2 linked regions of the Oryzias latipes genome follow. The protein of the gene in region 2 interacts with the protein of the main gene of each other region in a pairwise test. Links are inferred from orthologs where the notes say so. Each region holds a gene or a part of one and is shown on either strand. Other genes may lie near its edges.

Region 1 (4,019 bases), on a different chromosome or scaffold from region 2:
CATTTTAAAGAAAAACAGGTGAGATGCAGAGCTATTAGTTGATATCAAGGATGCCCGTCTGTAAGAATTCTGTGGTGTTTTGTTTTGGTCATGTTTTTTGGTTTTCTTTTTGTCAGTCACTCCAGTTTCAGGTTCATGATCCACAGCTGTCTTCAGTTCAGTTAATAACCCTCAGCCTATTTAAGTGTCTTTGTTTCTATTCATCCTTGTCAGTTCATCTACTCTGTTGTGTCACTGTTTTGTTTCTCCCAATAGTTTTGTCATGTTTCAATTAGTTTATTAAATATTTTATTTTCTGTCACCAAGCCAGGGGGGTATTCCAGGAAGCATGTTTAAACTACCCTGACTTTAACCCTGAACTCTGGCTGAAATCCGCCTGAACTTGCTTACTCTGGGTATGTCGGTTCCAAAAGACCCGATATGAGTTAGTGTAATTACGCTCGACTTGGTAACCCCGGCTTAATGCACGTGCTCGTCAAGTTCATAAGGACATTCTCAATGGATCGCCGATTTCCGGAGTCACCATGGAAACGCGTGGAGAAAAAAGAGAGCGCTATACTTCAGTGAGACGGCGTATGAAGATTATAAGACCATCAAAAAAGTAACACGGCTGCATCCTCAAAAGAGTTTCTGCTCATAGAAAAAGAACAGACAAAGTAAACGCACGAGTTTCTGATCTTATTTCCATTTTCCTTGTGACGCATATATATATATATATATATATATATATATATATATATATAAAACCTTTTTCCAATTTTGCCACCTTAAATGAATTACTTCTATTGATAACAAATGATTGAGTTAAATGTATTCAACCTAATTTCTTACGTCTATAAAACTCAATAATTGTTTATACAACTCTAATTTACATATTTATCTAACTAAATGTCTTATTACTCCAATTCAATTAATATTTTTTCCATCTTAATGAATTACAATTCTATCTATCTTTCTATATATACTTTAAAAAGGCCCAAGTAAAGTACAGATTCGTAGGAATGTAATGATTCATTAGTTTGTGAGTAAAAATAAACAAGTATTGTAAATAAAAAATGTGCGCGAACGTTTGTTTCACAACATTGAAAGTACGTGACGCTTGGACCTTCCGCTTGCCGTAGATGGCTTTGCCTCCGATTGATAGGTCTTGTTGCTACGCTGACGCTCCCCTTAGTTACCTTCTCAACCAATCAGATCGCCAGTCGGCAACAACAGCGGAAGGAAGGAAAGAGCCGTGTCCGCGTGCGTTAGTTTAACACTAATTACTGCTATAAAAGACATTTCCATGTGAGTATTACAACTCGGAGGTACTACTTATGTGTTGAGGTCTTTACTTATTCAAATTTAAAGTAACTGGCGTTAATTGCATAGAGGCTGGCAACTTTTCTCTCATGTTACCATAGAAGGTTTTGCGTGTTTATAAACATATATCAGGTTAATTTATTTCAGATTTTTTTTAATATGACAAAAAATGTTATCCTGTGGGTCTGTGTTTAACTCAAAAGGCGACATGGGTATTTAAAACTAAAGAGGGTTTAGGCTGTGATGAGTTTTGACAGCTTTAGCATCTGTTGTGAGTTAATTATTGCTTCTCTGCTGCTGCAGTGCTCTTTGCCATAAAACAAGAGACTCTCTCGGCTGTTTTTGTTCTTTTTTTTTTTTTTTTTTTTTTTTTTACGAGAACATGATGAATAAACGCTGGAAAACAAGTTACTAAGTTACTTAATTTGTCAAAGCAGTCAGTCCTGATCAGCAGAAACTTCTGGACCAGATCTGGCAGATTAAGGTGGCATACAATGGCACCAGCTACATTATATTATGATGGACGAGCTGTGGGTCTACTTTTTTGCCTTTTTAATGTTTTTCTGCCTTTGATGTGTAAGACTCCAACTATCCTGCAGATCAACCATAAAGTTTTTATTTATATACATTTTTAATAAACCAAGAATAACCTCATAAATAACATTTTAACATTAAAAAGCAGACGTAGTGCTAAGCACCCACGCTCCCTCTGTTATAAAAGTTAACTCTGGGTTTTTGTGACTGAAGAGTGCACGATTTTTGTTGTCAGTTTGAGTGTTGGAAATGTAGTTAACGTAATTTTAGTGATTGTGATTTCTGTTAATAGGGTGATGATCATAAAACGACCTTTTTTCAAGTGTTATTGGGGATTTTAACCTGAAGCTTGCATCATCCTCCCACATTGTTCTCATGCTACACTGCCCCGTTAAGGTAAGTTAGTCTCAATTTAGCCGGTAAATTCTATTTTTTAAGGAAAATAGACCACTTGAGATAAAAACTTTTTAGGCCTGAGTGCAGTTTTCCATGTCTGTTTAAAGGTAAACTTACCATAAAGATCAGTGCCCAGTGTATTTTGTAAGTGCTAACCGAGTCTGCGGTTATTCTGGTTTATTTCTTTAAAAGGGTAACATGGGTGGAAGAAATCTGTAACTCTTTCCTTTTCAGATGTTTTTTTTTTTAAACTATTTGATAAAATACAGGAGATTTTTACTGTCAGTTAATGTAGACAGTTAAAATGGAACAGAGTATTTTCTGATGATGTCACTTAAAAAATATAAAAAATAAACGGAAAAGTATTATGTAGGTCTGTCTAAAGAAATATCTGTTGCTTTAGATTTAATGAACAGCAAATGATTAATATTATTTCTAATATTAAGATGCAGCAAAAATAGTTTTGTTAGTTTTGTGACATGCTTATGCAGCATTACTTCTGTTTCTAGCAAACTTTTTAATGCATTAAGTCAAAATATTCGGTCATTAGTATTAGTAGTGTTAGTATTATTAATTATTGGTAGTGGTTTTTTTTCTTTCAATGTTATTTTGGACCTGGCAAGCTGAACACAGTTCACTGAAGGTTTGTATTTGGCTGCTAAGTTTCTAACAGGGAGCAGGTGCCTTTTCCAAAGACAAGTGTGGTTTAATGTAGGATTGTATTTACACTGAAAAGCCAATAATTGAATCCAGACATTTATTAATTGTTCTGTCTGTCTTCCAAATTTTTTCTCACAAGGATTTCTATTTAGAAAGACACCAGCGATGAGCTACAAACTACAACTTGGATAAATTGCATGAGTGAAGTCTGTGTCCAATGCCCTGACAATATATTCTACATAAACTTTCTCAACTCTAAGAAACTTTGGCTTTCATGTTAAAAAGTTTTGTTTCTGTGTACTGGTAATTAACGTTCTATTGTTGTGTAATATGTTTGCTTAAGACAAGGTTTTTGTTTCAAATAAATCTTGTTTGTCTTTTTGTTCAGGTATTTTTAATCTGGGCCAAAAATGGCACGAGTGATTATTCCAAAGCTCAAAGCATACATAAAGTTGACATTTTGAAACTTTTCTGGGTCAGCCTCGGACCACTTTTGAGCTAGCAGCTGTTTTAGTGCTGGCCCTTGTGGGGGCCATCTCTGGCACTCAAGCTCTGAGCCACCAAAGGGCCTTTATTCATTTTAAAATGTGAGCCAGGTGTAAGTGCATTATTTCTACTAGAGCTGGACCAGACCCATTTGACTGTTAGTGTAGCTCCAGTTCAGCTTGAGCAGCACAGAGGGCGGTTGTGCTTGTCAATAAACATCAGCAAACACATGCTTTTAGGACTTTACTGTATATCATTTATGCATTTTCAGATTGAATTGACTTTCCTTTTTGTAAATACAAATGCTAGGAACACAAAACTGGAACCATACTGTGCGATCATAGAGCAGGCATAAAACTCTGCAGTTGTTCCTGTGCTGATTATTATATTGGGTTTCTCTGATCGCCAGATGCTGTTTTTGGTTTAGCATCATGCTGTTAAAAGTAGAGGCCAATGGGAGACCTGTGCCCTCCTTCAAACAAAAAGGTAAGCAAAATGCTACTGACATACATCCAACATGCAAGTTTGTATTTTCTCTCTTTTTCTCATTTAGCCAAAGCTGAATATTCTAGTTCCCTATGCTACCTCAGTTGCTTTGTTGCTACAGTTTGACATGAAAATTCCGATGGTAGATCTTGTAA
Region 2 (4,208 bases):
ATAAAGGTTAACCCAAAGACTGGGGTGAAGGAATAACCCGAGTGTTTTAACCCTTGTGCTATCCAAGGCACGTTAACGTTGGGAGTGGGGTCATCTGGACCCCACAAGATGGCCCATGGGTTAAGGGTGCAGTGATTCCAACGGAACCTAAAACCAATAAGTTCTGATTTACGGTCATGATGCCTGCTCACACCGTCCTCCTGTAGAGATTAACACGTTTGACGTCTCGGTTCCTCCCTCAGACTCTGGGGAGTCCACCTCCACCCTCCCCCAGTTCCCCATGTCCTCTCCGTCTTCTCGCTCCGCCCGCTCGGTGGACTACAGCGAGGACCACGGCGTGCCCAAGCCCTGCCAGCGCTTGCCCCTCTACGTGGACTTCGAGGAGATCGGCTGGTCGGGCTGGATTGTGTCGCCGAGGGGCTACAACGCCTACCACTGCAAAGGCTCCTGCCCGTTCCCTCTGGGTCAGAACATGAGGCCCACCAACCACGCCACCGTCCAGTCCATCATCAACGCCCTGAAGCTGGTCCGAGGCATCGAGACGCCGTGCTGTGTGCCGGACAAACTGCACTCCATCAACCTGCTGTACTTTGATGATGACGAGAACGTGGTGCTGAAGCAGTACAACGACATGGTGGCTGGGAGCTGCGGCTGCCACTGACCATGAGCGCGCACGTGCACACGCACACAGCCAGCATCACTCTGAGGCCGCACTAACAGGCAAACCTGAGCAAAGATTGTAAAATATGTAAATATTCATAAATATTAATATATGTTTATGACAGATGTGTTATTTACACAAATGTAAATGTGTATATTGTGTTTTCTGCTGAGTGGGATTGTAGTTTGAATAAAGGTCAAATGACAGAATGTTTTTTTTGTTATTTTAAAAAATCCGCTCAAATGATAAACATGATAAACTTTAAACAATTTAAAAAATGCATTAGTAAACTGAATTATGATTCATACCATGTACAAAAGTATTATTCATTCAGGTGAATAATTGTTGGGAGCCTGCTGTTGCCAGGTTCCCCCAGCAGAGGGCGCCGCTGTGCTCTGAGAGGACAGAGCCAGTCAGTCACCTGGTGCAGGTGAGGAGGTCAAAGTTACCTTCAGAGGGGCAGGTGAAGCTGTCTGAATAAAAAGTTTAAAGACATTTTTTAAATTTACTTTGACTAAAAGTTTTTCTTTGCAATAAAGTTGAATAGAAAGTGAATCTGAACCGTCGTCTCGGTGACTTTTGACCTCTTGTCAGCCGAACTTCAGCAGAACCGCGTTCTTGATTCACAAGCACACCCATCAGACAAACACACTTAGGACGCTCATTGAGTTTCCCTCTGTGTGTGTGTGTGGGGGGGTTCAGGTCAGGTCTCCGCGTCCCTCAAACATTCGCCGTTTGCATTGATCAGATGCAATAAACCGTTTCTCTGCAAAAAGTCGTCCCAGCAGGCCGTCAGAGAGGATGGTAACCTGATCGGGGAGCGAGGCGTTGGCCGTGCCGTGGCACTAAAGGGTTGAAACCACTTGGCACGGTGCTCGACGACAGCCCTCATTCACTGCCACACGGGCTCCTATTCAGCACACAGAACCATAAACTGCTGCCATTATAGTGGCAACCAAAGGGCCCGGCTGCGACCCGACACCCGATCTCCTCTTTGGCTCCGGCCTCCTTTTGTGCCAGGATTTCATATCTGAACTGCCCTCCATAAAAAGCCCTCCAGGCTGCAGCCATGGACCTGCTGCTCCAGGATGGGAAGTAAGCAGAGCATCTTCACGGCACAGCAGCTGGATGCCTACCAGGTGGGTGGAACACCTCCTGAAGACTTCCTCGTGTCTTTGAAGACCTCCTCAGCGTTGTCATTAAACAACTTCAGGACATTCAGGACATAGAAGTTCTGGATTCTGGATCCTGCAGGTTCTCTGAACATCAGATTTGACTCATCAGGAATTATTCTGCTCCTGTTTCATTCCAGACTGTTTGACAACAGGACCCGACAGAATAGAATAGAGTACATTCAATGGTGCGTTAGCATCATCAGAATAAAAACAACAATAGAAGCAGATTAAAGCCAGTATACATATGCGTACATGTGGGCGTGTCCCGGCGTCTCAAACGCTGAACACCTTAGGAAGGTAAACCACCACAAAAACAAATCTGAACTGTGCTGCTGATGACTCCAACCTAACTTTAGCAGCAGGAAGGTTGAAGATGATGAGAAATAAATGTTTGATGAAGACGTTCAGGGCTGCAGGGTCTGTGGGGTCTGCTAACCTGTCCTGGTCTCTCAGCAGGACTGCACATATTTCACCAGGAAAGAGATTCTCAGGTGAGCCTTCACATGTCTGCATCTTATTTCTGTTGGTTTTGTCTTGAATGCTGTAACTTTTAAACACCATCCTGCTATTGAGACTGTTTTTTGTCTTCAAATCAGCTTCACTGGCTGTCCTTTCAAAATACAAGTCTGGAAACATTTATTTTGAAATTCTTTCTATGTTCTCTCTAGATTGTTCTACCGGTACCGGGATCTGGCCCCACAGCTCGTTCCTCTCGACTACACCAAGGAGCCAGATGTGAAGCTACCATATGAGCTGATTGGCAGCATGCCCGAGCTGAAGGTAGAGCCGCCGCCGCCGCTCTGCCACCCCCCGCCCGCCCCCGTCCCCATCCCCATCCATAATGCACGAGCAGCTAATCGACAGAATTCTTTGAAAGGTTATCCGTTACATGACTCCCTTAAACTTGAAGAATGCCGGTGGGTTCCAGAGGGCAGGTCAGTTGTGCAGCTCTCAGGTAAAGTCAGGTGAACAGGTGTGGCCGCTCAGAGTCCAGAGACCCAACCTCCATCCGAGCCTTTCCGTCCTTCGACCTGTGAAACGCTTTGTTAACCAGACCGTCTCTGGTGTCGGTTCGGTCCAGGACAACCCGTTTCGTCAGAGGATTGCGGAGGTTTTCTCTGAGGATGGAGAAGGAAACATGTCGCTGGACGACTTCCTGGACATGTTCTCCGTTCTCAGCGAGATGGCGCCTCGGGACCTGAAGGCCTACTACGCTTTCAAGATCTACGGTAAAGACTTTTCTGACGCTCGTCTGGAGACGTCCCTTCAAACCTCTTCCAGATTCTTTTGGTTTTCAGTTGAACATTAGGGGCAAATTTAACGGATTCAGACCTGAAAACCACCAAGTACGGCCCCTAAAGCCGGATCAGGTGTGTCCAGGTGATCAGCTGCCAGTGGGGCATTAATGCAGACCCCCGAGGCCTCGGGGGTCTGCATTAATGCCCCACTGGCAGCTGATCACCTGGATCAGGTATGTCCAGAACATATCTGAATGTTTTAGCGGCTCGTTTCTGACCCCAAAGCTATGAAACAAACGTTTGATTCTTCCCCAAAGACTTCAACAACGACGACTTCCTCTGCAAGTCGGACCTGGAGAAGACGCTGACCAAGCTGACCCGCGGCGAGCTGGGCGAGGACGAGGTGAAGATGGTGTGCGAGAAGGTGATGGACGAGGCGGACCTGGACAACGACGGCCGCCTCTCGTTGGAGGACTTCCAGCACATGATCGTCAGGGCTCCAGACTTCCTCAGGTGAGCTCAGGCGTCGTGTGGATCGACGCTGCTCCATTAAAGCCTGTTCTGATCCGGTTCTGGTCTCTCCACAGCACCTTCCACATTCGGATCTGAGGAGCCAGAACGTTTGTCTGAAAACTGTTTTTCACCATCTGGTCTGTAGAAAGTAGTCGTCCCAAACCCTGACCCGCCGCCGGACGGAGCCGCGGTCCATCGGCCGTCCCACCAGGACCCGGCTCATTAATTATGACGATCGGCAGCAGATTCCTTTCATATCTGAAGGGGTTTGGTTACACAAATATAAAGAAGCAGCAGCGCACAATGCAGCGCCGAGGGGAGGGCCGCTGGTCATCGGAGCAGCTCCTGGGGGGCAAACGAGGGCCGACGTCCATTCAATGAAAACAACGCTCACAGCTTTCATCTTCTTCTTTTAATAAAGCAAAAGTACACGTCTGTACAGAGCGTAGATCCATTCTAGACGGGTTGAGACAGAACATGGTGTGTTGGGACATATTTACAGTCTCTGACCCAAACTCTCCTCGTGTTACACAGAAGCAAAGCAGATGATCATGTTCAGTCTATGAAGCAATGACACGCGTGTGGAGATATGTTCACAATGGGGACGCATGGATGTTGGAA

What was found. The genes of interacting proteins can lie anywhere in the genome.
Region 1: the proteins of cib3 (region 2) and enox2 interact in binary tests that used the Homo sapiens proteins (3 or more experiments, as listed by UniProt). The two-hybrid records come from large-scale screens. The link is inferred for Oryzias latipes from reciprocal best matches to the Homo sapiens genes CIB3 and ENOX2.

The regions. Positions count from the first base shown.
Region 1 is NC_019868.2:7,970,267-7,974,285, forward strand, and holds the start of enox2 (ecto-NOX disulfide-thiol exchanger 2), read left to right. Parts: upstream 1-1,196; 5' UTR 1,197-1,287; intron 1,288-2,128; 5' UTR 2,129-2,232; intron 2,233-3,787; 5' UTR 3,788-3,864; intron 3,865-4,019. UniProt on the Homo sapiens protein: May be involved in cell growth. Probably acts as a terminal oxidase of plasma electron transport from cytosolic NAD(P)H via hydroquinones to acceptors at the cell surface.
Region 2 is NC_019875.2:30,516,009-30,520,216, reverse strand, and holds the start of cib3 (calcium and integrin-binding family member 3), read left to right. Parts: upstream 1-1,408; 5' UTR 1,409-1,749; coding exon 1,750-1,800; intron 1,801-2,292; coding exon 2,293-2,327; intron 2,328-2,504; coding exon 2,505-2,616; intron 2,617-2,917; coding exon 2,918-3,065; intron 3,066-3,391; coding exon 3,392-3,591; 3' UTR 3,592-4,208. Other genes in the region: bone morphogenetic protein 2-like, read left to right, coding at 243-661. UniProt on the Homo sapiens protein: Acts a an auxiliary subunit of the sensory mechanoelectrical transduction (MET) channel in hair cells. Plays a role in regulating hair cell MET channel localization and function.